Oreochromis niloticus: one gene and its partner. The protein of the gene in region 2 purifies or fractionates together with the protein of the main gene of each other region. This does not show direct contact. Links are inferred from orthologs where the notes say so. Each region holds a gene or a part of one and is shown on either strand. Other genes may lie near its edges. The genes, in order: ttc1 and limk2.

The links.
Region 1: the proteins of limk2 (region 2) and ttc1 purify together in Homo sapiens (affinity purification with mass spectrometry; 3 studies listed by BioGRID and IntAct, counting the BioPlex papers as one, with this or other methods). This does not show direct contact. The link is inferred for Oreochromis niloticus from reciprocal best matches to the Homo sapiens genes LIMK2 and TTC1.

The regions. Positions count from the first base shown.
Region 1 is NC_031975.2:33,689,793-33,706,726, forward strand, and holds the start of ttc1 (tetratricopeptide repeat protein 1), read right to left. Parts: upstream 6,419-16,934; 5' UTR 6,293-6,418; exon of another isoform or gene 5,902-6,292; 5' UTR 5,893-5,901; coding exon 5,431-5,892; intron 5,349-5,430; coding exon 5,288-5,348; intron 4,621-5,287; coding exon 4,508-4,620; intron 3,404-4,507; coding exon 3,367-3,403; intron 3,277-3,366; coding exon 3,128-3,276; intron 2,646-3,127; coding exon of another isoform or gene 2,535-2,645; exon of another isoform or gene 2,120-2,534; intron 1-2,119.
Region 2 is NC_031977.2:18,449,401-18,466,235, reverse strand, and holds the start of limk2 (LIM domain kinase 2), read right to left. Parts: upstream 8,202-16,835; 5' UTR 7,905-8,201; coding exon 7,889-7,904; intron 7,627-7,888; coding exon 7,536-7,626; intron 1-7,535. UniProt on the Homo sapiens protein: Serine/threonine-protein kinase that plays an essential role in the regulation of actin filament dynamics. Acts downstream of several Rho family GTPase signal transduction pathways.

The DNA of each region.
Region 1 (16,934 bases), on a different chromosome or scaffold from region 2:
AAACACAAGATCGGTATCAAATAAAACTCATGTTCTTCGAGACTTTTTCGATACGTATAAATTGGATATCATGCTCCTAACCGAGACATGGCTGCGCGTTGGGGAAGTGGCACCCTTGTTGGATCTGTGCCCCACTGATGCCAGCTTTTTCAGCTCCCCCAGGCTGTCTGGGAGGGGAGGCGGGGTAGCCTCTATCATCAAAAGCTGTTTTAAATGCAAACAGATACAAAGTCCTGGTGTTTTTACCTCATTTGAGTCCCAACTCCTGATCTTAAACTGTCCTGTGGTTCTAATTATAGTCATCTATCGTCCACCTAAATATAATGATTTGTTTATCTCGGAATTCTCAGACTTCTTGACATGTTTTATTGTTCACTATGAAAGGATTCTTATAGTGGGGGACTTTAATATCCATTTGTGCTGTGAGGATAAACCCCTGGTCAAAGATTTCTTAAATATAATTGACTCCTTGAATTTTACACAACTGATGTCTGGGCCAACACGTATGGGCCACACCCTAGATCTTGTCTTAGGTTATGGACTGAATATATCGATGACTGAAAACTGTCTTCTACCTATTTTAGACCACTCAGCAATTTTATTTGATATTCTAATCCCTAAATCTCCAGCTTTTGAGAGGGGAAAACTGCCCCTCAGATCATCTCGTTTTATTAGCCCTGAGGCATTGCTTGGAGTTAAACTACATCTACCTGAGGTGTTGGACCCCATTTTTACCCAGGGGTTATGTGTGGACTCTTTGACTGTGAACTTAAATAATACACTTCTTGAGCTACTGGATTCTGTCGCTCCCGTGAAGAAGCTAAAATGTCAAAAAAAGAACCCTATGCCTTGGCTAAACGAGGAGCTCTTGAATCTAAGGAGAAATTGTAGAAAGGCAGAGCGTCACTGGAGATCTTCCAGATTAGAAGTATTTCTTCGGGCTTGGAAGGACTCCCTGACTTCTTTCCAATCAGCGATGTCGACAGCGAAAGCAAATTACTTCTCAAATCTTATCATGAGTCATAAACATAATTCAAAACTATTATTTAACACAGTATCACAACTTACAGAGAGCAAGTCAACTCTCTGCTGTTCTAACTTGATGGCTCATGATTTTCTTGTGTTTTTCAGTGATAGGGCGGACACACTTAGGAATCAGATTATTCCTTCCTCAGGTAGTTTGTCAGACTACTCAGATGTCTTGCCTGTTGCTGCTGATAAACTGTTCTCTGATTTTAAGGTCATTTCTCTGTCTGAATTAACCAAGGTTGTAAAAGCAGCTCGTAGTACAACCTGTTCATTGGATCCTTTACCAGCCTGGGCTATAAAAGAACTGTGGTCAGCATTAGGACCCTACATTCTGTTTCTTTTAAATATTTCATTGATGACTGGAGTCTTCCCTGAATGTTATAAATCAGCTGTGGTAGTGCCGATCTTGAAAAAGCCTGGACTAGATGTTGACATGGTTGCAAACTATAGACCCATCTCACATCTGTCTTTCTTGTCTAAAGTCTTTGAAAAAGTGGTTTTTAAGCAGCTCACTGAGCATTTGTCAACAAGCAATCTGTTTGAACCATTTCAGTCTGCTTTTAGACCAAATCACTCCACAGAGACAGCTTTACTAAAAGTGGTGAATGACCTGCTGGTACATGCAGACAATGATCGCACTTCAGTCTTATTACTACTGGACCTAAGTGCCGCATTTGACACTGTTGATCACGGCATTTTATTGGATAGGCTTGAACATTTTATTGGAATTACAGGGAATGTTTTATCATGGCTGAGATCTTACCTGTCTGGGAGGTCTCAGACTGTTAATTTTAATAATGTTCTTTCTGAGACCTGTGTGGTGAGGCATGGGGTCCCTCAGGGCTCTGTGCTTGGACCACTGCTGTTCTCTATGTATCTGTCGCCTCTTGGTGCTCTTTTACGTTCTTTTAAAGTAACCTTTCATTGTTATGCTGACGACCTGCAGCTCTATGTTCCTCTAATAATTGGAAACTGTACTGAAATCTCTAAATTGGAATCTTGTCTATCAGCAATTAAGGGCTGGTTATCGGATAATTTCCTGTGCTTAAATACTGATAAAACAGAGTTGATGGTCATTGGACCGCCTAAATTTCAGCACTCGTCCCAAAATTTTACCCTGAGAATTGATGATAGGGTCATAACTTGTAGAGACAAAGTAAAAAATTTGGGCGTGTGGTTTGACACGGTGCTCTCTTTTGAGTCTCATATAAAAGAAATAACAAAAACCGCCTTTTATCACTTGAGGAACATAGCTAGAATTAGACACGTTTTGTCAAACGATACTGCAGAGATTCTTGTTCATGCATTTGTGTCCTCACGCATTGATTACTGTAATGCTCTTTTCTCAGGGCTACCAAAGAAAAGTTTTAAAGGTCTACAGATGGTGCAAAACGCAGCTGCTCGTATTTTAACATGAACTGGAAAATTCGAATATATTAGCCCTGTTTTATACTCTCTTCATTGGCTACCTTGTCCGGTTCGAGCTGATTTTAAAGTCCTGTTGCTCACTTACAAGGCTTTAAATGGATTAGCACCTTCGTATCTCTCTGACCTTTTACACCGGTATATTCCATCCCGTGCTCTCCGATCTCAGGACTCTGGTCTTTTAAAAGTTCCTAAAGCCAGGAAAAAGAAAATTGGAGAGCGTGCTTTTTCTTTTCGTGCCCCGGTTTTATGGAATAACCTCCCTCAAGATATTAGGCAGGCATGCTCTGTCGAGGTTTTTAAAGCTAAGCTGAAGACACACTTGTTTACCTTATCCTACATGTCTTAACTCTATGGCTTTGAGGTTTTAAATGTTTTCTTCTTTTTATTTTGTTCTTAATTTCTCTTTTTTCTCTGTTCTTAACTTGTACTGTGTCTCCTATCTGTAGTGCTATGTATTACTTTTAAACCTTTTTTTCAAACAGTTGTACAGCACTTTGCTTGAAGGTGCTTTATAAATAAAGTTATTATTATTATCATCATTATTATTATTATTATTATTATTAAATGAAATGGAGAATTCCAGCTTCTTTGGCTTTTAGCTCACATTTTAGATTATAACATTAGACAGAGCTTGCCTGGTTCTGCCTTGTCCCACAGTCAGTGAACTCACCATGGCCGCCTGCCTGGCAGCAACATTGTTTGGGTCTCGCTCCAGCACCTTCTGGTAGTCCTCCAGAGCCTCGTCCAGCTTCTCTGTCTGCTCGTAAAGCTCCGCCCTCCTCAGCAGCGCCCGCAGGTAGTCAGGATCCAGCGCTATTGCTATGGGAACCACAAAGCCAATCAGTCAGTACAATGAATAATCATTACACAGCCGGTGCTACCCAGGAGGGGTGTGATGTCATCACTCACCTCTGCTGCAGTCTGAGATCGCCTGCTCCTTCAGATCCTGACAGAGACACACACTGTTAGTACGCCGCTAACCTGTTAGCACCCAGCTAATGGCATTACTGATAACTGATCATTGCTAACATGCAGTGTTTTGCACATGCTTCAAACCTTTGCTCTCATTGGCCAATCAGGAGGAAATGCCCACCTGCTGAACCTGGTGACTCGAGCAAACTGCAGTCACAACATTAAATGTCCAGCGGCCTAATTTGGGGCTGTGTCAGCTTACCCACGCACAGGGCATCACACAGGAAGTGACACAGAAAGTAGAAACGTTAGGGGGGCGGCTGTGGCTCAGGCGGTAGAGCAGATCAGCTACTGATTGGAAGGTCGGTGGTTCGATTCCTGGCTTCCCCAGTCTGCATGCCAAATATCCTTGGGCAAGATATTAACCCCAAATTGCCCTCCGATGCGTTCATCGGAGTGTGAATGTGTGTGAATGTTTATTAGTTGCACTTGTGTTTAGAAGTGATCGTGGCTCAAGAGTTTGGAGTTCGCCTTGTAATCGGAAGGTTACCGGTTCGAGCCCCGGCTCGGACAGTCTCGGTCGTTGTGTCCTTGGGCAAGACACTTCACCCGTTGCCTACTGGTGGTGGTCAGAGGGCCCGGTGGCGCCAGTGTCCGGCAGCCTCGCCTCTGTCAGTGCGCCCCAGGGTGGCTGTGGCTACAACGTAGCTTGCCATCACCAGTGTGTGAATGGGTGGATGACTGGGTATGTAAAGCGCTTTGGGGTCCTTAGGGACCATAAAGGCGCTATATAAATACAGGCCATTTACCATTTGTATGAGTGCGTGTGAATGAGGCATGTTGTATAGAGCGCTTTGAGTACTCCGGGAGAGTAGAAAAGCGCTATGTAAGAATCAGTCCATTTACCATTTACCCAAGTTTCAGAGGGAAAGGAGCGATGTTTACAGCGTGAGGACGCTTCCTCCTGATTGGATGAGGTGTATCTGTGTGCGGAGCCACAAAGGGACTAACCAACACAAAGCTGTGTTAGAGGTGAAGCAGGTACTCATAGAACCAGACTTCCGTCACACCAAGAGCGCTACATCCTTCATGTTAGCAACGATACCGGCATAGAGCTAGCATGTTTTTAGCATGTTACCAGGTGCAGCCTCGCGGCGGCTCTATTGGAGAACAGCACGGCTCGCTCCCTGCTGAAACAGACGGGGCACACAGACAGCGCATCCGTGTAGCTTCGCCCCGCCTCCGCCCAGTCTGTGGAGACAACAAGCAAACGTTACACACCTGAGCCCAGAGCCCACCTGGCATCTGTACCGCCAGATCACCACAGTTACAGATCAACATGTATGATATCACCATTTCTGAAGACAGCTCAGTTTCCTCATGAGCAACAGTAATAAATAATATTGATTGTTCCAGCAGCTCAGACTGAATGTGATCATGTGATTAAGTCTCTGTCAGTCAGCTGCAAACACAGAGCATATACCTGAACATGTGTTCATCCAATCACATTCATTCACCCTGATCTGATTTCACGTCTCCTTCATCAGGCCGTGGGAGAGGAAACTTTCATGTTTCCATGGATACAGGTTCCATGGATAAAGTCTCACACGCAGGCGGCAGCACTGAGCACGCTCAGACACAAAATCATTCACTGCAATCAAAATTTATTTTCCCGCCACAGATCACCAGATTCTGTTGGTTGGAGTCAGAGGTCGTTCAGGGTCAGAGGTCACACAGACTCTCACCTGTGGTTTAGGCGGTTCATGTTTGTGTGAGATGAGTCACATGATCCATACTGCCCTTTTTAAATTGGTCAGAAGCAGCTCATTTGACCATGTAAGGGAAACCCTGATAGTGTGACCTCTGACCCCTTGCAGTATGCAGGACGAGCTCCACAGTGCTGATCTCACAGACTCACCTCCCCTCTTAAAGTGGGCGTTTCCCGCCTCCTTCAGACTGATGCTCTGCTGCCGTCGACTCTGAAAAAGAAGAACTCTGATTTACCACCGTGTGCCGACACCTAAATGCCTCTAAGTGCAGGTGCCCATCAGCAAGCGTTACCTCCATCTCCTCCTCGGTCAGCTCCTTTTCCACCTCCCTCAGGTAATCATCATCAAACTCTACGGCTGGGCCCACCTCCTCCTTCAGCTCTGAGTCAGAGTCACGCAGGGAGTCTCCATCTTGTTGCTCCTTCACCTCCTCCTCTTCCTTCAGCCCGTCTACCCCCTCCTCCCCCTGCTTCACATCCTCTGTCTCCAGCAGAGCTTTCACCTCCTTCTCATCCTCCTCTTCCTTCAGTCTGTCTCCCCACTCCTCTCCCTGGTGTCCTTCTGCTGCCTCCCTCTCTGTGTCTCCTCGTTTAATCTGTGTGTGTTTAAAATTAACATCCTGCTGGCTCTCCTCTCCTCCTGCAGTGGGGTCAGGAGGCTCCAGCGTGTCCGGACAGTCATAGAAGTCCTCCTCGTGCTCCTCCTCCTCTTCCTCCTCGGCCCTGCTGTGTCTCTGTATGCCTCCTCCGCTCATTCCGAAACTCTGAGATAAAATAAAAATTTAACTAACCGATTAGAGGCCTGACCTTTGACGTCACACAGAGCCAGTGTTAGCCGGCTAGCTGTGACTGAGCTAACAGCTTCAGTTCCTACTCAGCCTCACTCTTCTTCTGTGGTGATCAGCTGATCAGCCACCGCAGGATCAGCGCGTCTGCGTCACTTCCTGCTGATCAGCGGGTATTGAACACTGGTCAGGTTTCTGTTTGTTTACTACGAAGCTATATGCTAACAGCTAAGCTAACGGTCAGCTGGGACTCTACACGCACGTGTCAGCCGCATCCAACATCACGGTTCCGCCTGACGTCATCGAGGTGACGGTCCGTTGCAGATCGATAACCACAGAAACGTTACAATCAGCTGCTTTTCGGTCTCACCTGTAAACACCGGTGAATCTGCGCGACCACGCTCCCTGACGTCACTTCCTAGACGAGGAACGCTTCCGCTTCCATTTTAAAGTGTCCTGTAGGTACCGCTCATTGGCTTGATACTAACCGCGAGAAACGTTACATACAGCTTTGTTTGACAGAAATGAAGGAGAAAAAATGTTTTGTTGGTCATTCATTTTTGTCATGACATCACTTTGATTAGTTGAGTATCTGAGGCTGAGACCACAGGACTGTAAAACATGATAGTTGGGCTTCATTTCTGTACTGAACAGTCATTTTAAGATTGGTAAATAACAATTAGCTAATGTTGTTCGTGAGACTAAAATCATCTCACTGTGGTAATGTAAATATAATATGGCCAATATCATAGTATTGTCAGATTATTATGATATATATATATATATCACCTTAAATCTTCACTCAAAGACAAGTATCTCTGACAGTGTATATACAGATGTATTATATATAAGAGACAAATATTGTTCGTTTAATATGTTGGCATTGTTACATTTGGCTCAATGCTTATATATATGTGTAAAAAGAAAATGTACGAGCTGTGATAACTGTGTCTGATAGAATGAAGATCAGACTGATATATGAAATATTCCTTTATTGGGTGAGAAAATCAGACCATGTCATAACTGCTTTAAGTCATACAGAATAGATATCAGAGCCTTAAACAGGCTGACTTCTGCTAAATGGGTCAAACTGGGCAGAAAGTATACAAACACATAACATCCTTATAGAATATGATGTAACACTATAGATCAACTTAGCTCAGAATATATAAAGCATATAAACAATTACAGCAATATGATGCAACAAACAGAGCAGTACTACTAATCCAAAATACTCAAAGCTTCATAGAACTGAAACAAACATTTATTTTTAGCTCCATTCTGCTGCTGATACATACTTTAGGTTTCTGAATATTAAACTTGTTGCTGCCTTTCATAGTGTGTAACTTGAAGGCCCTGAGTACTTTCTCCCACACTGAAAACACTGGGATGATAGCATTATTTGAACATTACCTAATAAGACTGATTCAGGACAGACAATTAGTTATTTTAAACTTTCCTAGCAGTCCTTCACAAACAGGGAACAGTCTGTCTATTCTCTCCATCTGTCAGCTGCTGCTGGCTCTTCCTCCTCCTCTTCCTCACACACTGCTGAGTTTGTCCCGGTGGATCATCAGGGGTGCAAAGCCTCACAGATGATGTGCAGCAGTGGGTCCCTCAGTCTGTCCTCACTCTGGACACTTGCAGTTGTCACACATGGAAATCAAATGTGTGATAAGCTGCAGGATTCAAACACAAGTGTAACTTATAAATACATGTTCATACTTTTATTCCACAATCAGAGAGAAAGAAAGAGAGAGAGAGTGCAGGACAGACAGGTGACAGTCTCAGGTGTACACACTGCTACAAAACAGCACAAGAGAAGGAGGATTTAGTGTTTGTGTTATTACGAGTGCTAAACAAGAAGAGTTCCAGATGGTCCAGTGGACACATGTGTGACTCCTGTGATTAAAGCATCTTTCTTTCAGCTTAACGAGTGAACCGTCAGCTCGTTCAAACACACGTTAAAGTCCGTTTGGCTCCACACCACCGAACAGAGGCAGCAATATAACATAGCTAACATTAACAGTGCAGTGAATCCTGCTTGTGCCGTCATATTCAGGACTGCAAACTGAGCAGCATCACTGACTTTCAGCTTGTTGTGTTTGTGGATATATGACTGACTTTAACTATCCATAAAATCATCACATTCTCTGTAAGATTAAGGTCGACTATATATATATTTAGAAGTAGAGGCTTTAAAACCAAGTTACCGCTGAAAGTACAAACATCACTAATGTCACATAACTTTCCCGACATGTGGCCAACAGTAATGTTTTAATGTTCTTAAACATTCGCACATAAATAAGTGACATCATATTCAGTACTTACTTTTGATAGTTCACTCTTCGGCCGCTCCCTTCTGCCGTATTTTGCGGCAAAATTATCCACACCCACCGCCGCACTATGGATTGTGGGATATATGGGGCCACGAAGCGTGCACCGGACCACGCTTGATATTTGGGGAAATCGACGGCGCATTTGGAGTATGCATTTGAAGTGCACTTTGAATTGGGACAGCCGTCGTCGCGTGGCGGTGACGTAATCGCACTTAAAATGCGTACTTCAAGCGTGTATACCCTGAATTGGGACCATTGACTGTAGAAAACATGGACGACGCGACTCCGCCTCCTCCCATTGTGCAAAAATGAAGCCAAAATATCCCGCTTGTGGAGGCTGCCATCTTGCAAATTTGGAGCCAGAGTCTGCGCAGTAGTGACTTGAGGTGGAGCGACTGTGTAACGCTCCCGCCCACACACCCGCTGGACATGACCGCAAACACGCCCCCCTACACTTTTTACGTAGATCATGAGTCCTGCTTGATCAATGCGATGAGCTTCAGTCTTCCTGGTGTTTCTTAAATGATGCCTCTCTCAGTGGGTCAACAGAACTTCTAGCACAGGACAGCTGTGATGAAGAAAGAGAAGAAGTTTCTCCAAACCTCTGGACCCAGGAAACCCAGCTTGGTCCTGATGGTCTCCCTCACTAGTTTCTCTCCAGGGTGAATGTAGCTGTTGATATAATATGGACTCTATTATTAAATGAAAAGAACAAATTAGACTACACTACTGAAACGTTCTGCTGATGTTTTTAAAGTCTCCATGTTACCAGGCTGTAGAGGGCTCTGAAGATTTAAACAGTTTTAGATCCATTACACTCACAGTCTTATGTTAAAATCTCAAAGGACAGCATTATATTTTTGATATTAACAGTAACTCTGGGCCTCTGTAGAGTGTGCAGATGATCTCATTGCTGTCTAAAAATGGATTAAAACAAACATAAGAAGTGCTGAATCCTTCAATAACACAGACTATTAAGAGCATTAGGTGTGTCGCATCGCTAACTAGCTAGCAACAAGCCTCCAACACAGTGCGTATGCTAGCGGCTAATCTTACGGCTAATTAACAACAGAGTGATTTTAGAAGTTTAGATGATAAGCTGTGTGTCTTTTTTTATAACAGTGACATGGTTGTACCTTAATTAAAGGAGTCATCAGCTGCGGTAAACCAGGAAAAAAACTCGAGCAGCCGGGCTACGTAAAAAGTGTAGGGGGGCGTGTTTGCGGTCACGTCCAACGGGTGTGTGGGCGGGAGCGTTACACAGTCGCTCCACCTCAAGTCACTACTGCGCAGACTCTGGCTCCAAATTTGCAAGATGGCAGCCTCCACAAGCTGGGTATTTTGGCTTCATTTTTGCACAATGGGAGGAGGCGGAGTCGCGTCGTCCATGTTTTCTACAGTCAATGGTACCGCTCCCTGCCGGAGGAGTAGTTTCTTTTTTTTTTCTTTTTTTTTTTTATATGAACTTTATTTGTCAACAACAGTGTGTGGAAGCAGATTTCATGTCTGTTGTATTTATCACATATCACATTAGCATAGCAAGAGCACTCATGTCACTTAGTTGTATACATGTGCCCTACAAGTGGGCCTTATGCTCTACACACACTGTGAGACGGTGTCCATCCTCAGAAAAACTGTTTGGTGTTTGATCTGAACGTTTTTCTCCACTGTAGTGTTTTTCTTTTCCTTTTTCTTTAATAAACCTCACTTCAAAAGACACGCTCACCTGGTAGTTGCAATTTTATTTAAGAGTTTCCATAACAATTGTAACATATAAGACACCATTACGGAAGCGTAGAGCTTCCACCCAGGCAAAAGAAAAATAGAGCTTTATCACATTATAATGTGAAAACTTTATTGTTCTAACAATATACTTTTCATGTTTAAACAACATAATATCATGTTGTTACAATATACATAATTATCACGTTTGTACAATATAATATTTATATTGTAAGAACGTGAAAGGTTTTTTGTTATAACATGATAATTATGTATATTGTAATAACGTGATATTATGTTGTACAAATAAAAATATCTACCCTTCCATACACCATTACTTATTCATGCATCTAAATATATTCGGTTGAGCATTACAACAAGAGGTAATGAAACATAAAAAACAAGAAAAAAGAAAAGAAAGAAACAAAACAAAAAAGGAAACAGAAAAACAGGCAATGTAGAATTTGAGAACATAGGCACAAACAGTGTGAACAGAAAGGGAAATCATGATCCACATCTCAGATAGATTGGCTCAGTCAAGAAGAACTTGCTTAAAGAAACATAAAATGGGCCCGGGCATTTTGACTAGAGACCCACCAGGTATTATAGGAATAGCCATAAATCCTTTGAATAAAAACGAACACTGTTGTGACAATGATGTACACTCTCTTGTTGGTATATGTATGATTTCTATACATTTTACATCAGATAAAAACTTTGGGTGTAAGATTCAGATAATTATTCATTAAAAGCGAGACATTTTAAATGAGAATAAGAAAGAAAAGTATTTCTTTGTGCCCCCCTTTCCCTGTTAATGCCCTACCTGGCCCCCTGGCAAAACTTTGCTAGACCCGCCCCTGCACAGTTACCAGCTGACAGCTACTTAGAAAAGGATCCTGGTGTTATTTGGCTCTCAGAAACAGTTCATAACTTCCCTTCAACTCATTCGTGTCACCTAAAAGGTAAACCTGTTTCTCCATCACCTGTTCAGCTCTGATGATTCAGTAAGGACATCTCCTGGTTTCATCTGCATGTTTCCCTCTCACCACATATCCAAACCGATATCATGACCAGCAGCTTTACAGCTGTGGCTCCAGCAAACATCAGCTGATACTAGAAATTAATATTAAATAAATTCTAACAACAGCTGATCAACTTTAAATGTGCTGGTGTTGTTTAGCGCGACATCCGCTGGTTTCCTCTTTCTGGCGCAAAGTGGGCGATCAAGCAAGCGAGAGCGGATTTCCTTCAGAAAAGCCGATCAGCTGATCATTGATCAGTTTCATGATTGAAGTAGCAACAGGAGAGGGAGGGGGGAGAATGAGAGGAGAAGAAACAGCTGCAGCGTAACGACAGAATAACTCCAGCTTTGTTTCTTTTTTCCATTCTAGCTGAAGTCCGGGACAAACTTTGTTCCTTTTCAGCTCAATATGAAACGCATAATATTTTCTCTGAATATCGGACGATTCCGTTTTTTAGGGGACGGTTAGCAACTTTACTAACTAACCTTATGAATAAAATAAAGTTCACTATCAGTAACATCACAGCACCCACCCAGCTGTATAGAAACTCCGTCATGCTAGCTAGCACGCAGTACGAGTTATTGTAACTGACTGTAAAAAGTCAGCACAACGAAAATAAACTCCACCTAAACTTGGTTTAAATCTGACCCAGATAGACTGCAGGTCATAACTTCTTACCTGAAGTTCAGTTCACCTGATACTCGGACCGGTGGCTGCCTCGGGTCTCTCCTCCTCCTGCCTCCCCTTTCCCTCATCCACCTGCTGGCCTCTGTGGAAGCTCCGCCACAGCCGCCACCAAGCAACTGAGTTATTTTTACACATCGGTCAGCATCTGGCCAATCCACCACATTTCGTTGTTTATACCGTTACAAAAAGACCCAAAAACCCATCAGGCCATAAAAACGAAAAAGCCATCGGCCCACCGGTGGCCACTCCAGCTATGGTCTGTACGAGGGAAATTTCTTTTGCAGTTTGTCTGAAAAGATGCACTTGCGCTTTGGGATCTTTTAAACATCATTAGGCGCGTTGCTGCACGCTGTGAGTCCGTCAAGCGCTCACAAAACAGCAGTTCGGGGATGACATCTCACACATGGGTCCTCTGTCGGACTATAGGAAAACCTGGACATTTTTATCAATCTCGAAAATCCCCCCGGACGCCCCGGACAGAACGTGCAAAGTGGACATGTCCGGGAAAAAGAGTACGGTTGGTCACCCTAAGCTACAGCAGAGAGTGATATTAGGCCCCTTATGTCAAACTGAGTGATTTATGGCCCCAATAAAACGATTTATGACCCCAGGAAGTAATAAAGGAAGTAATAAAAATATGATATTCATAAAAAATATGATATTAATAATGCCCTAAGTAATGCCATCCAGAGTAAGAATCTGGTTAGATACCATATTTCTAAGATTTTCAGGGCCAAGTACAATAACCTCAGTTTATCTGAATTAAGGAGCAGAAAGTTAGCGGCCATCCAGGTCTTTATGTCTTTAAGACATTCCTGCAGTTTAACTAATTGGTGTGTGTTACCTGGCTTCATGGACAGATAGACCTGCGTGTCATCTGCATAGCAATGAAAATGTATGCTATGTCTTCTAATGATGCTGCCTAAGGGAAGCATGTATAATGTAAATAGAATTGGTCCTAGCACTGAACCCTGTGGAACTCCATAATTGACCTTAGTATGTGAAGAGGACTCTCCATTTACATGCACAAATTGGAGTCTATTAGATAGATATGATACAAACCACTGCAGTACAGCACCTGTAATACCTACAGCATGTTGTAATCGCTCTAATAGGATATTATGGTCAACAGTATCGAACGCAGCACTGAGGTCTAGCAGGACAAGCACAGAGATGAGTCCACTGTCAGAGGCCATAAGAAGATCATTTGTAACCTTCACTAAAGCTGTTTCTGTGCTGTGATGAGCTCCGAAAGAATTTTTTTTGTGAAGAAGTTCATGAAGTCATTACTAGTTAACGTTAAAGGGATGGTTGGCCCAATAGAGCTCTGACTGTTTGTCAGCCTGGCTACAGTGCTGAAGAGAAACCTGGGGTTGTTCTTATTTTCTTCAATCAGTGACGAATAGTAAGATGTTCTGGCTTCGCGGAGGGCTTTCTTATAAAGCAGCAAACTATTTTTCTGGGCTAAATGATGATCTTCTAAATTTGTGACACGCCATTTCCTCTCCAGCTTACGAGTTATCTGCTTTAGGCTAGGTCAGGGGTTGGCAACCCGCGGCTCCGGAGCCGCATGCGGCTCTTTACTCCTTGTACTGCGGCTCCACGTGGTTTGGGAAAATAAATTAGAAGTAATTCGCTGAAGTGCATTTTATTTGTGTTTAGTTCTTTTTTTTTAAACTTGTAGTTCTAAATTGGAAGATTGTTGTGACTTTGAAATATAAAAATAAAATGATATCTTATTATTTTTTTCATCGCTCAAAATAAGCGTCACACTCGCGGAAGCCGGTGTACCCGCCGAAACGCCATGCATTTATCAAGACTTTCAACCCCAGGTAGGCCAATTATGGATCTTCGGATCCACATTATGTCGGCAGCTGTTCTCCACCGTGAACTATGTTAAAAACAAACACCGCTCACGCCTCACAGATGACAGCTTACAGTCCTGCGTAAAGATGAAAGCCCCGATTTGCAGACGCTGTGCACCGAGGTTCAGGACCAGAAGTCTCATTGTAAACAAATCACGGCAGACCCGACGATGTTTGCATGAACATGCTTTTCAGTATCTCTTTATTGACCACTTTTCACACACGGTTGCTGTACGCATACAGCCGGCTGTAGCTTTGCAGCTCACAGCCCGACATACACCACCAACAACACAACAGCACAGATAGCGCAGACATTAAGGCGGCGAGGCGTGATTGCGGGTGCCGCTCAGGTGCGTCCTGGCAGAATTTTGCAAATATCTATTTTTTTTTAGCGGCATAGTGCTTTTTTTCCAATTACTTTTTAAAAGGGTGGCGGCTCACAACAGTTTTTGTTTGCTACATGGATCATTTTAGTTCAGCTGGGTGTCTTTCCTTTTGTTATATTTCTTTAAGAGTTCAAAATGTGTTAATTACATAAATAAAATGTAATTTTCTCCGTAGCACTTCATGGATTTTTTGCTCTGTGGATTCTTTTAAAAAGCAGTTAAAAACTTTTCTGTTCAAACAAGCCTTTTGTTGATCTACGTATTTTATATTCTTTACATTATTTACATTTGATCTTTTACATTGTGTATAATGTCTATTGATTGTATTGTTTATTTTAATATTTGTGTACAGCGCATTGTGACTGCCTGTCTGTGAAAAGTGTTTAATAAATAAACTTTACTTACTTACTTTAGTTGTTCACACAAAGCACAAAAAACAATATATACAGTGTTATCTTCATTTTAGATTTCAAAAAGTATTTGTGGCTCCCAGTGTTTTCTTTTGCGTGGAAACCGGGTCCAAGTGGCTCTTTGGGTGTTAAAGGTTGCAGACCCCTGGGCTAGGTGTTTGAGAATTATACCACGGAGTCAGGTACTTCTTATTTGAGGCCTTAGTTTTCACAGGAGCTACAGTATCCAGAGTCGTACGTAGTGAGGAGGTAAAATTATTAACAAGATAATCGACCTCTGTTGGAGTAGCGTTCAGATAGCTGCTCTGCTCTATGTTGGTACAGGGCATTGAAGATGATAACAGTGGGTGGATTATATTCTTAAACTTAGTTACAGCACTTTCAGAAAGACATCTACTGTGATAAAGTCTACTCTCCACTGCTGTGTAATCAATTATTGTAAATGTGAATGTTATCAGGAAATGATCAGACAGCAGAGGGTTTTCAGGAAACACTGTTAAATGTTCAGTTTCTATGCCATATGTTAAAACAAGATCTAGAGTGTGATTAAAGTGGTGGGTGGGTTCTTTTACATTCTGAGAGAAGCCAATTGAGTCTAATAACAGATTAAATGCCATGTTGAGGCTGTCATTTTTAGCATCTACATGGATGGTAAAATCACCCACAATAATTATTTTATCTGAGCTGAGCACTAAATCAGATAAAAAGTCTGAGAAATCAGAGAGAAACTCTGTATAAGGCCCAGGTGGACGATAGATGATAACAAGTAAGACTGGTTTCTGAGTTTTACAGCTGGGGTGGACGAGGCTAAGCATCAGGCTTTCAAATGAATTAAAAGTCTGTCTTGGTCTTTGGTTGATTAATAGGCTGGTGTGAAAAATTGCTGCCACACCGCCCCCTCGGCCTGTGCTTCGAGGTTTCTGGTAGTTAGAATGACTCGGGGGTGTTGATTCATTTAAACTAACATACTCATCCTGCTGCAACCAGGTTTCTGTAAGGCAGAGTAAATCGATTTGCTGATCAATTATTAAGTCATGTACTAACAGAGACTTGGAGGAGAGAGACCTAATATTTAATAATCCACATTTCACTGTTTTACTCTTTGGTTCAGATGTGGATACTGTATTGTTCTTTCTTTGTGATTTTTTATGTTTAAGTTGTTTATTGCTGGTTTTTAGTTTGTTTTTTGTCTGTTTGGGAGCTGACACAGTCTCTATGGAGATGGGTTTTTGGGGGGGTAGCAGGAGGAGAGAAGCTGCAGAGAGGCGTGTAAGACTGCAACTCTGCTTCCTGGTCCCAACTCTGGATAGTCATATTTTGGGGGGTTTAATAAATTTGTCCATATTTCAAGAATTTAAGCTGAAAATGTTAGATTGTTTATCCTGAACGAGAGCAAGAGAGTGCACCTATCGCTGAGAAGGTAAATCGGAGCTGTATCCGATTGGCTAACCGGGGTGCAACGGGAGCTGCCCACTTGTTATATGTTTGGCAGCGGGGTGAAATTAGGCACGCCTCAGAGGTGGAGTTGGTCTCCGGCGCAAATTTCGAACGAAGAGCCGGAATCATTAAGGAGCAGATACATCGAGAGTAACAAGGGGAAAAAATTGTGCACTGGCTGCGGTTCGGTGTGAGTATGAGCGACGGAGAACTTAAGCTGTGCGCTGAATTTGAGACGGAGCTAGTAAGAGGGCTGGTTTGAAGAAAAAAGACTAAGTATTTTTTTCAGGAGTATTCCCTGTTTTTGAATATAAGGTTTTGGGAATAGAGGGGTCCCTAACAAGTTATTCTAGGGGTTTTTGTTGCGTGTATTTGGATAACAATACGGAGGTTTTTTTCAGGAGGTTTCCTGCTTGTTTGCCTAAGGGTTGGGTGGGAGCCGCGGTGCGCTTATGCTTGGGGGGGGGTCACGAGAGTTTTTTGCGAATCGCAGTTTGATTCTAAATCTCCTTGTTCGGATTAAACAAATGCATATAAATTGAAATAAATTATGAGGTCAGTTCCTTATGATTAAGGAACTGACCTCCCAGCCCATTGTTCCTTCAGTGGACTGGTTTCAGTCATTATGCAAATGTACTGTTTATAAGATTGGGGAAACCTGCAGTCAGCTGAGACTGAAGAAGTCACTTGGATGAGTGACGAAACGTTTCGTAGCGTTTTGTGGGAGAAACACAAAACGCTACGTCCAGATGAACAGATTCAACTTTTGGAAATTGAAATAAAGTTTTCCAATGAGGCATGCAACCTGTATGTCTCGCCATGCTGAACGTTACAAAAACACAAGTTTAACTAAGCACTTTTACTCTGGTTTAACACATTTCCACACACACACACACACACACACACAGGAGCACGGGCCCAGACACAGGCGCACGCGCGCACACACGCAATGACCCACCACCAGATGGCATTTTTAAGCATAAAAAAAGTAAAAGCTTTTTAATGGCTTAAAATTAAAGAATGCTATTGATGATAAAAATAGTTATTTTTAATAGTCAAATAATTTATTTTTTGGGAAAAAATTAATGAGTTATGAACTACCATAATTTGATGAATATCATAATTTGTTGAATATCATAATTTT
Region 2 (16,835 bases):
GAACAACAGACTTCAGAATGGATTTTGAAATGTGAAGCAGATGTCTATGATGACATGATGGCGGTCAGAGTCTCAAAAGCCTGTTTGACTACATGGATGTTAGATGTGCAATATATGTGAGACACAGCAGGGGAAAAGCCAGCCAAAGATGCTGATAGAGAATATCGACTGTGCATAAGAACAGCCTAATAATAACAGCATAATAAAGACCTGGATTTTCCAATATTTCTAATATTGCAATATCTCTGAAACAAAGTGTTTTTTGAACAGTTTCTCATGCACACTGTAAAAAACAACAACAACAAAAAACAAATCCAAACTGCCGAGAATCCTCCTCCAGTAAATAACCTGTGAAGTCATAGCTGAGAGGTCAGTGCAGTCACACATACCTAGGGGTGCAACGTGGCCAGTCAGCCAGTGAAATTTGCCCCCTCAATGAAGCTGCTGACTTTAACATCTTTACTCTGTGGTGATAACCCCATGTGGACTGTCATTGATGGATGGTTTCTTGTAAAAATATTGAAGTTTTTAATCAGAAGTTTAATCAGTTGCAAACGTGCTACAAGTGACTATTGATTTCCACTCTCCTAAAATGCAGTAATTAAAAAAAAAAAAACAACCCAAAAAACCAAAAACCAGACACCGTTAGATGCCTTCAAGCTAAAAATGAATCAAAAATAAGCAAACATAGATAAATCAAATCAGTTTTTGCTTGTTAATCTAGGAGTTTTTGAAAGTTCAGGAAACATAAAGAATTGAAACTTTGGACTTTTGTTTGTGTATGCTGTGTCATATATGTAACCAAGGAAACGTCCATTAACTCTGTTGCACTTGGCAGACCCTCCTCACTCAGCCTTTGTAATCAAGGGTCAACCTCTGGAGCTGAAACATTGAGCCAATGCAGAAGTAGCAAAAGCTGCAATTCCTCAAGCAGCCAAAAAGGGTGTCAAAAACTTCACAGCTTGAAAAATCATATTAGGGGCTGAATTTTCTAGAACTCATCCATGGATATAATTCAGTTATCTGTCATCAGCATCATCTAGGCCTTATCTGTGACTTCAAAATCAGAATCAGAATATTTTATTAATCCCTGAGGAAATCATGTGGTCATTAGACAGAACCTCTTCATTGTGTGTGTGCTATTGGTGCTTTTTAAACAGATTATCAGACTAATGATATGGCTTGCTGTGTGCTCGCTGGCTCATTCTAGAAGTTTGTGCTCCAGCTTGGCGAGTAAGATTACATTAATCCACTGCTTAGAAATAATAAGCTGATAGGCGTGTCTGTGTTGCACCCACACAATTTATAAATGCAGCTTGTTAACCAAGTTTGCTGAATCGCACTCCACCCTTCACCTGTATAAAGGTAACGGCTGGCTTAAAAACAAAACAAAAATGGCTACAGCTTAGTTTCAAAATGTGGAGTCCAAAAATGAATGGTGACACCACAGTGCCACATCCGTGTTTTATACCATTTATACTTGTATGATGTACCAAAAAAATAGTGTAATTTTTGATTAATCAATGAATCAACAATATGGAACCTTCTTCCAAAAATTGTCTGTAAATAAAATAAAAGAGTAAAAACATCACACGAGAAAAGCTGTAACAAAAATTCTGATCGCTTTGCCAATTGTCCAAAATTATTAATGACTCTACTGAAATATTAACTCTTATAATTTAACTTTAAATATTTCTTACCAAACTTGGTAACCTTTCTGTAAATGTATCTCATCCTTGTTTCTTAAACGCTGTAAGCTGTGTTGAACAATCAAAGAAAGCTCCTATAGAAGCCATCAGTCAAACTTATCAAATTAGCTAGAGGGTATATTCCAAACGCTTAACGTGCCAAACTATGTTCTATAAGGTGTACAACAGAGCGAATACCTTGTAGCTGAAATGTCCCGGGGCTTGCACTGTTAGAGAGGCAGGGATCACAAAAGTAATTAAATAAAAATGTTCCACTTTTGAAGAAGCAGATGTCAGATTTGGGAGAACTTCTCTTACTTGAAGACTGCGCAATGCCTCTATGGCTGCCAAGTCCTTATTCAGTGCTTAATGGGATTCAGGATCACCACCTCAAGATAAGACTCTACAGAGCCAAAGTCCTCAAATTATCCAGTTGGGCTATAATACAGCTTTTGATTACAGTTCAATTTCTTAGGCAGGTCACTTTAAATACTAACAAGTCACGCCGTTAACCACATTAGCTCAGAAACACATCCTGGGGTTTAGGATTTCTGAGTGTCTCTCATTGTATTTCTCCTCCTTCAACAGTCTAACGAAGGCGTCGTAGTAAGAGCTAGCACTACTGTTATAAATAGTGTCGACTGGTGCTCCTGTTATATGACTAGCTGCTAATCGAAACTGATATTTGGCAGAGAGTTAATGCCTGAGACTGAGACAAAATGTTCAGAGTGAAGAATGCTGAAGTTACCAGCAGATTGGGAAGCACCTGCAGGCATTGAGCGCTCCTTGAACAAGCTGCACTGGTTATGCAAAAATGATGGCAGAAGATTTAACTGCCAGGATGAGCCACTTTATGAGAGATCGGATTACTGAAGCCTCTGGAGCCAGTTTTGCCCGACTTTGCAAATCATTCCTCAGGCTTGTTTTTTCCCCTCCACCTTCCACCTCGGTTACACATTCATCTAAAGAAGAATCCTGATGTCTCGGTGATGACATGTAGACAAATGAGTCACAGTGAAAAAGAGACAGCAGCCCAGTCAACTATTTGCATTTGAAAAGGACAGAAAATGTTCACTGCATTGATTTCTCTTGAACTTATGCACAAAAGTAACAGCAGGTGTGAGATAATATACAGGCTGCGTAGAGGAACGGCTATAATATTCAACAGTCAACTACTGTCAGTTTAGAGTGGTTCCCAGCATGATTATTTTGCCAGTTAGGTGAAGAGCATCAGATTCTCGATGAAGACAAAAACATTATTTTAAATGTTTATTGTATGCATTTTTATTCTTTTGGTGATGGCTCCAGACTTCAGCTGAGACCCGCGTATCACGTTGTTCTCTCCACTGTAGGTATAGTTCATCCAGGATTATTGACTTTGGCACAGACTCCAGATATTTTAGAGTTTTCTGGCATTACTTAAGAAGGAGCTGTCCTTTGGAGGAAAGACCACATGTTTGTGTCTGTGCTGCGGAGAGAAAAGTGGAGAATAAGGGAACAGCTGGCTCTGAGGCAGAGAGGACGTGACATGAAACAGATCCATATTTGTGTCCTTTTAAAAAATGTCAGGAAACAAACCTTTTTCCTTTGACATGAAAGCAACATAAAAGAAAAGGACACAAGATACAGCCTGATGTATCACAGTGTGCTGTCAGCTGAGGAGTAACAGAGCAGAATAATTATCCTGAAGTTAAGATTGCATGAGTAATGCTTGCTAAGCTGCTGTGGTCACAACTGCACTAAAAGGCCAAACATCTGATGTCTGGGTGTGACGCAATATTACACAAATTTGCTATTTTCATTAAATGATTAATAACGTTATTAAACATCATTAGGAGTGGGAGAAAATACAGATGCAGCTTTATATTGACTCGTTTCTGCTGCAATACAATTACGGTGCCAACTTTTAATATTTTGCCCGGTCTTAATGAGTCAGTTTCTGCCGCAGCATTCTGATGGTAGAGTCTGACGAGAGGTTATGATAGTTAACTAAAACAAAACCAAAAACTTATACAAGAAGTGAAAAACAATTTAGTTAACTTAAATTAAAAAAAAAATGTACGGAAATGATTTTGTGAACTTGGAAAACTAACTTTTAGAATTTGTTGCGTTGTTAAAATTTTTTATTGCTAGTTGCCCGATGGAGTCAGGTGCCTTCAGCTTTAGAAAGGTTTGTTTTAGTAACTGTTTAGAATTTCCTAAAGGTTGCCCCTGACATATTCCTCACAATATACAACACACACAATAATAATTAAAAATTCTTAAGCTAACACTAAAATAATAAAAAAGGAAACTAACATTAAAGCTTTTTCCAGTGAAATAACGCACCATATCACAAAGCTAAAATCATCTCAAACTGGTCTCTTAAACATCACAATGAGTTCATTGTACTCAAATGGCCTCCACAATCTCCACATCTCACTCTGATAGACCACCCTTGGGATGTGGTGGAACGGGAGATTCACATCATGGATGTGCAGCTGAGAAATCTGCAGCAACAGTGTGATGCTATCACATCAGTGTGGATTATAATCTCTGAAGAGTTTTTCCAGGACCTTGATAAATCTATGCCATGAAGACCTAAGGCAGTTATGAAGGCAAAAGCAGGCCCAACCTATTACTGTAAGATGTACCTAATAAAGTGACAAAGTTAAAAAAAAAAATAATAATAATACATACAAGCCACTATACACATTTGATTATTGTAGAACCGAGACATTGCTGTCAGCCTCAAATATTCAGTATTTGTTAAACTGTAGCACAGACAAGTAATGTCAGCACAGCATCAACAACGGCTGGAGGTATCAACACTCTCATTGTCCCTTTAGCTAGATACAATATTTACGAATAAGACAAAAAAAGGTGCAATTCTTCAAAAATACTGCATGTACAACATACTGTGTGTCTAAGTGGAGGAGAACAAACAAACATACAAAGAACTATTAAAAAACTTGTTCTGAACAAAAAAGCATTCATATACAAAATAACCTCATAAAATATAAGTGTTGTACATTTTTTTCCTTTTACCATCTACATTAAGTGATACAAGTGTGCTTATAAAAACACCTAACTTCCTTGTATATATGGTGCTGAACGGGCGTGTGCACTTAACTCACGTGGTCATGTTGGCTGCACAAACACTACAAAGTAAACATTACTCGTTTCCTTAATATGCATTGCCGTTGGAGTCCTTTGTTAAAGTGTGGCTACAGTAATGACAGAAATAGATACTGAGATGATCTTTTACATGTGGCCTTGAAAGCCTGACAAAGGCGTATTTCACTGTGTGCAACAGCATCAGCACCAACAAGTTCACCACAGATCCTTTAAGTCCTCAAAGTTGTGAAACTGGGCCTCCAGCAGACCCGTTTATCTTGGACACACCCCACAACTGCTCGGCTGGCTCACGATATGGAGAATTTGGAGGCCAAGTCAACACCTTCAACTTTTTATTATGCCAATAGAGGACACAGCCATCAGGAAAAACACTTGCAATGAAGCGGTATGCTACTTTTACCTAAGTAAACTCCACAAGAAGGACATAAGACTTTCCACATTTTCCTCTACAGCCTCCACTGGCTGGGCTTCTTCCAACAGCGCATCTTGATGTAATGTCTTCACAGGTAGGCTAAATGAGGCGCAAACATCCACTCATCCACATCTTCTAAATAATGCGTATGTGCACCCGGTGGTCTGTAGAGGTGTACGGAGGTTAGCATGGACAAAAGCAGCAGTGTTTTGGCACCCCTCTATGATAGCCAGCATTAAGGTCAGATAGACAGGTAGACCTTTGCTTCCCACATCTTTGGTAGGTATGAAAACTACTTTGGAAAGGCACCAATCCAGTTATCAGACCATGACTGATCCTAAATGTTGGGCCATTTTGCTGTTTGCAACACTCAACTTCAAGATATGCCTTTAAGACTTACTGCCTTTAATATCAACCTAAAATGTTCAGATTATGAAAAACGTTAAATAAGCACCAAAAGTGTAAAAAAAAAAAGAAAAAGAAAAAGAAAAAAAAAGGCTTTTTTTTTGGTTTGTTTTCCTTGAAAGTAAAACAATTATTTAATTTCACTGAGTCTAAAATGCACATGTAAGTAAGAGGCAACACCAAAATGTAAATGAAGACATAAAAGAAAAATAGTAGTGTTGTTCAAATCTAGCTCCGGATTCTATTTTTGGTTACACAACTCTCCCCAGCATGGGAAAGACTCTATTTTTAACCACAGAAAAATGCAATAAGATCTGCAGTTATGCAGGTGGAAAGCCGTGAAGAAGATAGGAAATAGTTTTGTCTAAAAAAAAAAAAAAAACCCCCAAAAAACCCCAACAACACAAAGGCTTCTGTAGTGTTTGAGACAGAGCTCACATCTCTGATTCGCTGTCTAGGAATGCAGAATGCTGCAGAGCTGAACGTGCCATTACCTATAGGCCTGAATAACACTGCCAGGTTTACTGGAACAAGAGTGACGCCGCCTCACAAGAATGTTACACGAGGTGGAGGTATACGGAGGGCAGAGGGGCAGCATGTTGACAATAGAGAATGGGAACACCACAGGGTATCACATCTGCAAGGACATTTTTATTTTTGGTTGCTTAACGAGTTATGTCTTGCAAACAATTTTAGCGACGATGGCGTCAGCTTACAATGGTGCTTAGGAAAAAAACCCCAAAAAAACAAAACACCCATGCAAAACATTTCATATATGCAGAAACTTTAAAGAAAGGAAGTTATTACACAAAGAAATAACCAGGAATTCCAAAAATGTGAAAAGGTATAAAAGAACAAAGGGAGTGAGAGGATCAAGGGTGAGTAATGCAGCTGCGTCAGGAACCTTGCTGCTGAGATAAATAGGCTTTGTGTTATTGAGAAGTGTGTTTTAAAAGAGTGAAATCAAAGGTTGTCCAAGGACACTGCCACATACTGGCTTAAGAGTCTCTTTTTTTTTTTTCCAGCTGTAAGATTCATTTAACCTAGAAAATATTAAATGTGTTTTCTAATTTTAGTGCCAGAGGAACCCTGATCCACTCCCAAACACCAAACACATTTTTGGGTGTACTTGTGTGTGTTAGGTGTGCCTTCTTAGTCAGAGATAGAGAGAGAGAGTGAGAAAAAAAATCTCTAATAATCAATATTTCACAGATTCAGGCAGTCAGCTTTTGGTGATCAGTTTTAAAATGTTAGGAAAATACAACCCAGCAAATGCAACTGTGACCCTGCAGTAAGCTGAAGTACCACATGCCATTTCTGTTAAACAGCCTGAGTTATCTTATTTAACATGGGAAAAAAAAAAAAAAAAAAACCTTCAACTGATCTCCATGGGGAAAAACCCTCTGGGTGTTATATAATATTGGCATGTGCAGTGTGTTGGCATCAAACTGCAGGTTTACTGCTGCACACAAAAATATGGTCAGTGACCTGTACGAGCCAGAGAGCTGGTATCATCTCCACGGTGGCAATCATTAAGCTTAAGAGCAGAAGGGGCAAAGTTCTCCTGGGGAGGAGATCTGTCAGCTGGGACTGGGGGCAGGAATCACATCCTACAGAGTGCATTTTGTGCACAAAAACAATGGTGAACAGCTGAAAACAGACAAGAGTCTGTGTTTAGGAGACAGAACAGAAACTTCTGGGATTATCCACAGGTCCATTTGTAAGTACATCCAAACAGAGTAAACTACAAACACACACACAAAATCAATCACACAAACAACTGTCTGTGTCAGCGCGAGCTAACACCTCCTCCTTATACACAAACAAAGTCTCCAGTCATCGGAGTATGAGTGACAAAACTGTGCTCATTACAGTAATGAGGGTACTTAAAATCACGATCTGCAGCCACTTACTTGAAGCAGGCGTTGTGCCAGGTGTCCTGGAGGACTTTCATTTCAAACGAGTCTTGAATTTTTCCTCTACAGCCCACACAGTAACACTTATCTGCAAAGAAAGAAACGAGCCTCCCCTGTAAATAGGTGTAGCGCAGAAACCTCATGTGAAAATTGCAATACTGGTTTAACTGGGATCTGAATTTGAGCGAGCAAACAGACGCGCCGCTGCGCTCGGTCTCCAAAAAGCTCCGTTTTAATAGGTAAAAACATTGCGTGAGCTGAGCGCTTCAGACAGAGAGATGATGCTCTTTTACACCCCAGCGATGTAGCATCACTTCAGTGTAAAGGTACAGTGTGAAATACCACTTTACCTCCTGGTTCCTCCATCTACTCCGCGAGAGTGTCGTCGATATTCAAGTCCCTTTTTTGTTTTTTCACTAACTCCTCATACTGAAGAGGAGAGCTGTCATGAGCCGCTTCACGTTTTCGTTCCTCCCCGTCCGAGATTCCCACCTCTCTAAATACAGCAGGAAGAAAACACAAACGCCTTTTAATCCTCCACAGAGAGAGAAAGAAAACTGAGCTGAGACCTCCTGGACGGAGCTGCTCTCTCGCCGCTGGCAGGATGACTGACGTAATGCAGTGCTCACATTCCTGTACGGAGAGCGGAAAGGCCCAACCTCCGCACCTGGAAGAAGGAGAAAACTGAGATTTGGCCCCAAACGCGAAAGGAAAAACAGTGGCGCCATCTACTGCCAATATCACCGCACTACACAACGATTCACTATGTGGTTGCTAGGCTTTAGTGGATAGAAATGAAACGTTATTGTATGTTACTGTCGTGACATAAAAACGATGGGATGCTTTCAAAGTGTTGACGTCATAATATATTAAGGATAATATAATCATCAGATCTTATTGCATTCTTAAAGCAATATAGTAAGTACAGTACAATAAGACACAATAAGTGTCTTTCCTGAAGTTCTACAGTTGTATCAAAGGATCAAAATCTCTGTTTTAAAATTTCATTTAATTTTTTTTTAAAATTCTATAAAAGATAAATGACTGCTATATCAATCAGGTATTGTTTGCTTTACAATTTGTCTTTTGCACTTTTGCTATTTGAATGAACAAGGAACAAATCAGCATTTAAAGTGCTTCTAAATTGTTTTATTTCTGTTATATAGCCAAGGCTCACTGATAATACTGGGCTGGGCAAAACAATAATTTCACTGCATCTGAAATCAGTAGGCATCATCTCTTTAAACCCATTTCAACGCAGGCAGAATAGCAATGAATGTTATTTACTGAAAGGGTATTACACCTAATGAGAAGATTTAATCACAGAGTGCACGTGTTGTTTCTTTGCTTTTCTCTGCTCCATGCAGAATAATATTTCTTTTTTAATTTACACCTCCAAATTCAGAAGACGGTGCGTTTAAGCGGTTTTTACAATAACATGATTCATGGCTCATGGTTGACCTTTAGGCGATTGAATTTAAAGAGTTAGTTTCCCTTTAAATCACATATGAGGTTTAGTTTCAAAACATTCAACACAAATGCTGGTATGTACTGAGATTTTAAAAATGTATACAGCTTTGTTTATTGAAAAAAAATTGTGGCTTATTCACTGTCACATCCGTCAGTATTAGCACAGTGCTGTGCAATCTCATGCCACCCCTCATTTCATTATGTCATGCTTGGAAAATGGGGAATAGGTGTAGTGATTTATTGAAACACGTGCAAATATATATGGAAATATAAGCAAAAAACGGTTTGCGCAGTTCAACAAGCTTGATGTCCACATTTATTCTTCAACACAGCCTGGACTCTCTCAGTCAAGCTTTCTTGTTATTTTTAAGTAGTCTTCAGAAATAGCACTGCACTACAGTACAGTACAGTCACACTGATTTTTTGTGCTTGTTTCTTTATTTTCTTATGTTATTTTAACATGTCGAAATAAAGCCCCACAACGCTGGGAAAACTGTAGAACTGTGTCTTCAATCTTCAGTTTACGTAAAAGGGCCAATATACAGGCAGGAACATGAATGCGTCATGAGTTCCTCAGTTTCACCGACTGTGGCTGAAACATTAATTTCCTGTTTTGCAGCGTGGGACATGGTTCAATATTTGTGTGGCATATTAATGATAATGGGGCTATTGTTAACAGTGCATTAAAGTAATGGAGAAAAACTGAGATAAGGTAGAATAAACCGAGAGTCGAGAGTTTACAGTAGACAGGACGATACTCACGATAAGCTTATTATTAAGTCTTTGGCTCTTGATTTTAGAATGCAGTTGCGTGAAAGCCCATTCATTGTTATTTAAACAAGGGAAAGATTATATTTGGCAGTATTTGTTGTTACACTGTAATAGTCATGATTGACCTTACAATGAAGCTCCCATACACATCCTGACACAACACTAATATTAAGCCACTTCTGTTTGGGGGGTTACCGCAGTTCTACCTTCTACCTCCCTGACTTGTATAAGTCGCTGCGTTAGTTTTTATTCAGAGGGACTAATTGCCAGCTTGTGAACTAGGTTTGTTGCTATGGACTGAAGTATATTTCCGTTGGTTTATTAAAAAGTGGCCAGCAGGGGGCGGTAATTAAAAAGCAGATGTTCTTGTATCGAAAAATAGGCGCAAGCTACACTTCAGGTCTTCCTTCTGTGTCTGTCGGTTCTGTAACAAGAAATAAATGACATAATAAACTAGGTTTAAATCTGCTGTGTAAACACGCAATGTAACATATTTAGACACGAACTTCTCTTTTTGCCAGTGAACTTAAACATAATGCAGACGCAAGTTTTAATTCATGCCTGCTTTTCAGACGCAAGATATGAAAGACCTTGCCTTCATATCTTGGGCTGCTCTTCACCAGAAAAGTGAAAACGTGAAGGAAAGAGAAAACATGACCAGATAAAATGTTAACCTCTTCTTCCACACCTCAAGCCTCATCTCCTGCACTGAAGTCAGGGCTCTGACCCATGAAAATGTATGAACATTATTATTTTTTCCTAATTGATTTCTTCTTATTTATTTACTCCTTTCACAAAGCTTTGCAGTCTACTAACAGCCGAGGTAAACAGGGGACTGACAGCTTACATTCAGCACAGATAGCCATCAAAAATTATGTATTTGAACTGTGAGGGTTAAGAAAACAGAACTCAGCTGACTGCAGTCTGCAATCTACTGAAATCTAGTGATGACATTTTTTACACTGCAACTTTAAAATCAACAAATAACCCAAACGCAACAAGGAGGCCTCTATATAATGTGTGGTGCTACCCTGTAGTTCTTGCCTGCTGTCCATCAAAACAATGCAACGAAAAAGCAAAGCAATGCAATGCCTAAACTGTGCAAATCATATGAACTTCCTCTAATGTCAAAATTTACAAGGTAATAAACAGGAATGAAACCATCTGATGAGGCCATTCTAAGAAAAACTGACATTTTGCAAAGTTGGACAAAGCTAGGTTGTCAGAAAGACAATATAAGCAGTTAAGCACATGAAAAGCAAGCCTTGGATTTGCTTACTGGTTACCAACGTGCATGTTTGCGTACATGCACACACACACATACACATACAAAAGCACACTGTCATCTTTGAGGAATAAATGAATGCCACAGTCCTTCAGTGCTCTCTTTCCACTCCCTTTTCCCAACAACCACCAACAGTCTCCTCGTGCAAGCAGGGAGCATTCTGATTGGCTGCTACTTGACAGCTAAATTAGTCTTCAGGTTCAGGTATAGAAGGGTGCGGTTCAAACCAGCTTATGGCATACGTTTACTAACTTGCTTTTAAGCAATAAAACTCTGCACACACCCATCCAATATAGATCTTGCAAAAAAGAGCAGTAAGGATCATAAATAAAACCACTTTAAGAGAACCTTCAAACCAACTTTGTATTTATTTAAATACTTTCACATTTAAAGATTTGGTTGATCTGATGATCGGAACTCCACAAATAATGTGTAAAGCAACAGACAAATCTTTGCCCCAAAACACTCAGAACTTTTTCCAATGTCAAGAGATTTATTCTAAAGACACTTCTTCAGCTAAGAGTCTAAGAGGAGAAACACACACAGACGCTGCAGCATTTACTTGTATACAAGGGCGATCACAGAACGCTCACACCAGAGTGGGGGCCCTGTGATGCGCGCTCTGTTCTTGCACGTGTCTTTATTTATACATAAGAAAAATGAATACATTTGACGTGAGCATGTGCGTATGTGTGTGTGTGTGTGTGTGTGTGTGCGCGTATGTGTGTGTGTGTGGGAGGTCAGAACTGCTTGTTTGACTTCTTCCTATCGCTGTGAGAAGACTCAGATACAAATATCAGAACATGTTTTATAAAGAACAATCAGTCCTGAACAATGAAAAGAACAACCAGTTCTAAGCAAGGAAATGATCATCATGCAGCATTCTATCACAAGCAAACTTATATCATTAAAAGCTTATACTGACTAAAACATACAATTTTCTATTGACGTTCCCTCCTGTTGTCAGTATAACCTTTAAGTGAGATATCAGTATGTAACATCTTGTTGTACATTTTCTGTCACATCATCATTAATCACACAAAGTCTTCACATTCCAACAGGTCGGGGTCATCACCATCATCATTTGTCACGGCAATGTATGCAGCTACAGTGGAAATGATTATGCGGTTAATCATGAGTTTTAGACATGGCAGGATACATGTTACAAAACACAAAATAAAAGTAAAAATACTCCAGCTCCGATGAGTAAGATAAGATAAGATAAAACTGTATTAATCCTATTAACTGTAAAATTCGGTTTCCAAATAGCACAGCACCGACAGAAGCTACAGAATGTGAGCAGAATACTATAAATACAGAGACATATATATAAATAAGAGTATACAAAAGGTAGAAATAGAATAAATACAAATACAAGGGAATTGCAAGTATTTCAAGTATTGAAGTCTACTGCACCGTTGGTTATTAACAAAAAGTATTGCACAGTGAAAAGGCAGTAGTAGTCTTTTTAGCACCTGTAGCCAGGAGCCAGTGTAAAGCCAAGAAAACCAGTCACTTGTATTACTCACGTCCTGATTTTGGGCCTGCTGGATCTGTCTCAAGGCGTTCGGGGTGTCAGTCATGTTTGATGAGTGTACATTGTCTGGTATGTAAGTGCAGCAGGTGTTGTTGAAGAGGACGCAAAGTCCCCCTTTCTCTGCCAGTATCATGTCCAAAGCTACTTGATGTTGCATCACTGCGATCTGTAATGCATTGATTTCCTGATCTTGCTGTTCGTTGATCTTGCATGAAGCGTTCAAGAAGAGTCCAAAGCGGTAGTCCAGAGTTTCGATCCTCAGCATGTTTTTTTCCGGTTCCCACCCAGGGAACAATGTGTGGAGTACTTTCTGTCCGGTAGTCCACAGTTTGAATTCCTCAGGTACGTTGCTTCGGGTCATGTGGTTGAAGTTTAGGGAACGTAGATCTTCTTTTCCGGCGTGCTGTAGAAGTGATGTTTACTGCGGTCATCCTGAAAGTGTGGTCTGACAGGAATATAGGAGCACATGTTCCTGTCCAGCCTGGGGGCAGTATGAAATATGCCCGTTGTCCACATAGCTAGGCCATTCCTTGCACCCAGTACGTGCCGTTAGAAGGTCCACTCATATTCACAGGGGCGCCCTCTCCGTGGACTGCAGTTTGGACGCAGTTTGTCGTGTTTCCAACGGGTGTGTTACCTTTCTCTTGTTGATAACACATGGAGTGGTTCTTCCCTGGGAGTTGGTCCAGAAACACTGGGAAGTGGATGGATGTATTCCGGTTTGTCACGTTGAAATTGATCCAGAAGAGTTGATCACATGTTCCATTACTAAGTCCAACAGCATGTGGGATTGTGTCGTTGGTGATGATTCAACTGTGTTGGAATCCAATGCCAGCGAAGCTGGCTGCACACTTTGCTTGAGTGTTGTTCATATATTCACCATATAGTGTGGGGTGTGTTGATGTGCTGGGCATATGAGAACAGACATAACAGTCTGTATTTGCCGATTCCGCCTTGGTCCTGTCGTGGATATAACGGTATCAGGCATTGTTCATCCAAGGGTGGATGTGGTCTTGCGTCATGTCTCTTAGGTGCGAGTTGTCGTGCGTCCATCTTTTCTGTCTGCCTCGTGGTTCAGCTGTTGTTGGCGTCAGCTGGGGTCCTGTAAGGGTGAGCGTCGTAGTCAAGGTAACCAAGAGGGTCCACCTTCCCATGGTTGTACACACCTGCACCTGGCTGCCCTAAAGTTGATCGGATGGAGATTGGAGTGCGGGCTTACCCTACGGGGGCCCAATCAGCACTGCCCCCCCTCACCCCCGAAGCAACCAAGCGCGAGTGAGACTTTCCTTTACTAGTTGATTTCTGTGGAAGAAGTGGAATCCTCGGGGACCTCAACTTTTTTGCAGTGGCTCTGATGTATCCAGGAGGGTCTCTCCGCTATTTTGCAGGCACTTGGTATGGACCCTCCCACCGTGGCGAGCTCCAATTTTTTCTTTGGAGTACTCGGACAAGGATCCAATCACCTGGCTTCAACCTGCAAGAAATAGGTGAAGAACAGTCTTGCGGCAGTTTATTGTTCAAAAAAACTTCTCTGTTTGTCAAAATTGTCCGTTTCTAATAAGGACCATTCCTTGGATCACCCCTCCTGATGAGCCATGGCTTAAAACCAAGCAGGTCAAGTGCTTCTATGCACTTAAAGAAAATATCTAAACTAATTATTTTCTTCATCTCATATGTCATTGTACTGAAGTTGAGCAAACCTTAAGCTTGATGCAGACTACTTTTAGCAATTATCCACCTCACATCATAACTGACTGAGGTGCCTCTTCATCTTAATATTATTTCATTATTAACGCTATTATCTCTTTATATAACAGCAATAGTATATTACAATATTTATTTATATTTTATTTGTATCCACCAAGGGTGATGATCTGCAGTTTCACCCTTTCCCAAGCTGGAGACATTTACCTTTTCACACACTTTCCTTGGCTGAACAATGACAAAACCTTAATATACCTTATGCATTTCTCTAATTTATTTAATATGTGTTTGTGTGAATCATTCTGTTCATTCAGGGCATCCCAACTATGTGTCATTGTTAATACCAGTTTACAGGTTGTTATCCTTGCTATCATCAACTTGAATACATTACAGTTAAGTTCTAAATCAATTTAGCCTTTTGTTTATTTTACTTTATTCCTCTTGTATCTATATGTATTCAGTCGGGTCTGTTTCCAGCCCTTTTTAAACTTCTACTTTGATCTTGAATTTTTCACTTGGTGAGGGATTATTATGTTCTTCCTGATCTGAACTATTCTCTTCACCTGAGCTGCTATCCTGTTCTGAGTCACTGTCTTCTTTGTTTGTTAATGCTTTTACTCTTTTTTGCCTGTCGTCCTCTCCATTCCTCTCCCTTTCTTTTGGATTATTCCTGCTCCGGTTTGTTGTTTTTCTAACCAACCCTCATCAGGTGTTAATTTTGCTTGTTTATTCCCCATTTTTAAAGATTTTGCTGGGCCTTCACTGACACGCTTGACTTCAGAGTGGTTTACTGATACGGCCTTCGACTTGACCCTAAAGGTCAAGCGGTATCCGTTTTATGAGACGAAGCTCAACCGTTCTCATCTGTCACCAGTACGTGAGCCTCAAGCAAACAACAAAATAAAATAGAAGTAGTTCAGCAGCGTATTGTGCTGTAAAATCAACTTACTTCTAGACACATACACACATAGACATTTGCGCGCCTTTACAATTTGTTATGAAGTAATTACGGCTACTTCTAAAACCTAAGTCTAATTCGGTTCATTTTGGCGAATCCTAACCAAAACAGTGTTTCTCTCACCCTCAGACGTCTCACTGGTGGTTCGGATCGCCAGACTGAATCCCACCGCCGTGGACCAGACTGAAAACACCGGCCTGCCCGAATTTTAGCATCCCAGGTCTTTCGGCTTCGTCTAAGAGGGCTGTGCACAGACTTCGGTGCTGGCTTCCCACAGCGTCAGGAATCAGTGCTGGATCCTGGAACAGAGTCACAGATAACAGTTCTGATGTTTCTGCCCCGGCTTCGAAGGACCAAAATAAATGTCAAGAGTGTCTTGATGCATTCTCAATCATCCAGGAAAGTAAATCTCCAAAAGTTGAATCTGTTCAACAGATTCAACTTTTAAATGTCAAGAGATTTATTCTAAAGACACTTCTTCAGCTAAGAGTCTAAGAGGAGAAACACACACAGACGCTGCAGCATTTACTTGTATACAAGGGCGATCACAGAACGCTCACACCAGAGTGGGGGCCCTGTGATGCGCGCTCTGTTCTTGCACGTGTCTTTATTTATACATAAGAAAAATGAATACATTTGACGTGAGCATGTGCGTATGTGTGTGTGTGTGTGCGTATGTGTGTGTGTGTGTGCGTATGTGTGTGTGTGTGTGTGGGAGGTCAGAACTGCTTGTTTGACTTCTTCCTATCGCTGTGAGAAGACTCAGATACAAATATCAGAACATGTTTTATAAAGAACAATCAGTCCTGAACAATGAAAAGAACAACCAGTTCTAAGCAAGGAAATGATCATCATGCAGCATTCTATCGCAAGCAAACTTATATCATTAAAAGCTTATACTGACTAAAACATACAATTTTCTATTGACATCCAAATAAGACCAAATCATCATGACCTGACAATTAAGGATTAATATCACAGTTAGAGTTAGTGTGTAGAACAACTGTATAGACGAAGTTGTTTTTTTTTTAAGTAAGCAAACACATAACTTCACACCTCAGTTTAAAAATAATATAGTTGTATCGCTGTATTTTATGAAGCCTTGTCTTAATTTGGTTGATCAAGGCGAGAGTAAATCAGTTTCACTCAGTTCTATTTTTTTCTTGTGAAAAGGAGTAAGTAACGGGGAGTATTCAACTTTTGCCTATAGGTAGTATGTCAATTTAGGGTCTTTTCATATTGTCGCGCATGGAGTCTGATTCAAGTTATACAATAAAGATGTATTTTATATTTATTTACAACAAAAACAAAAACAGCAACAATAATAGATTTATTTATTTGTTTGTTTGTTTTTCTTTTCCTTGATTGATGGTTCCTTGCAGTGGCTAGAGTAATCCCTCTTTATGAGTTTTCCGCTATGCCAGTGAAGGAAACTGGTCTACATGGTAAATATTACAACGAACAAAGCCAGTGATCTATTCATATGATTCAAACTCGCATCAGGCCAGTAAAGCGGAGCGGGAGCAGGAATGGAGTTAACGGGTTCCTTTCAAGATAAAAGAGGGATGCAAG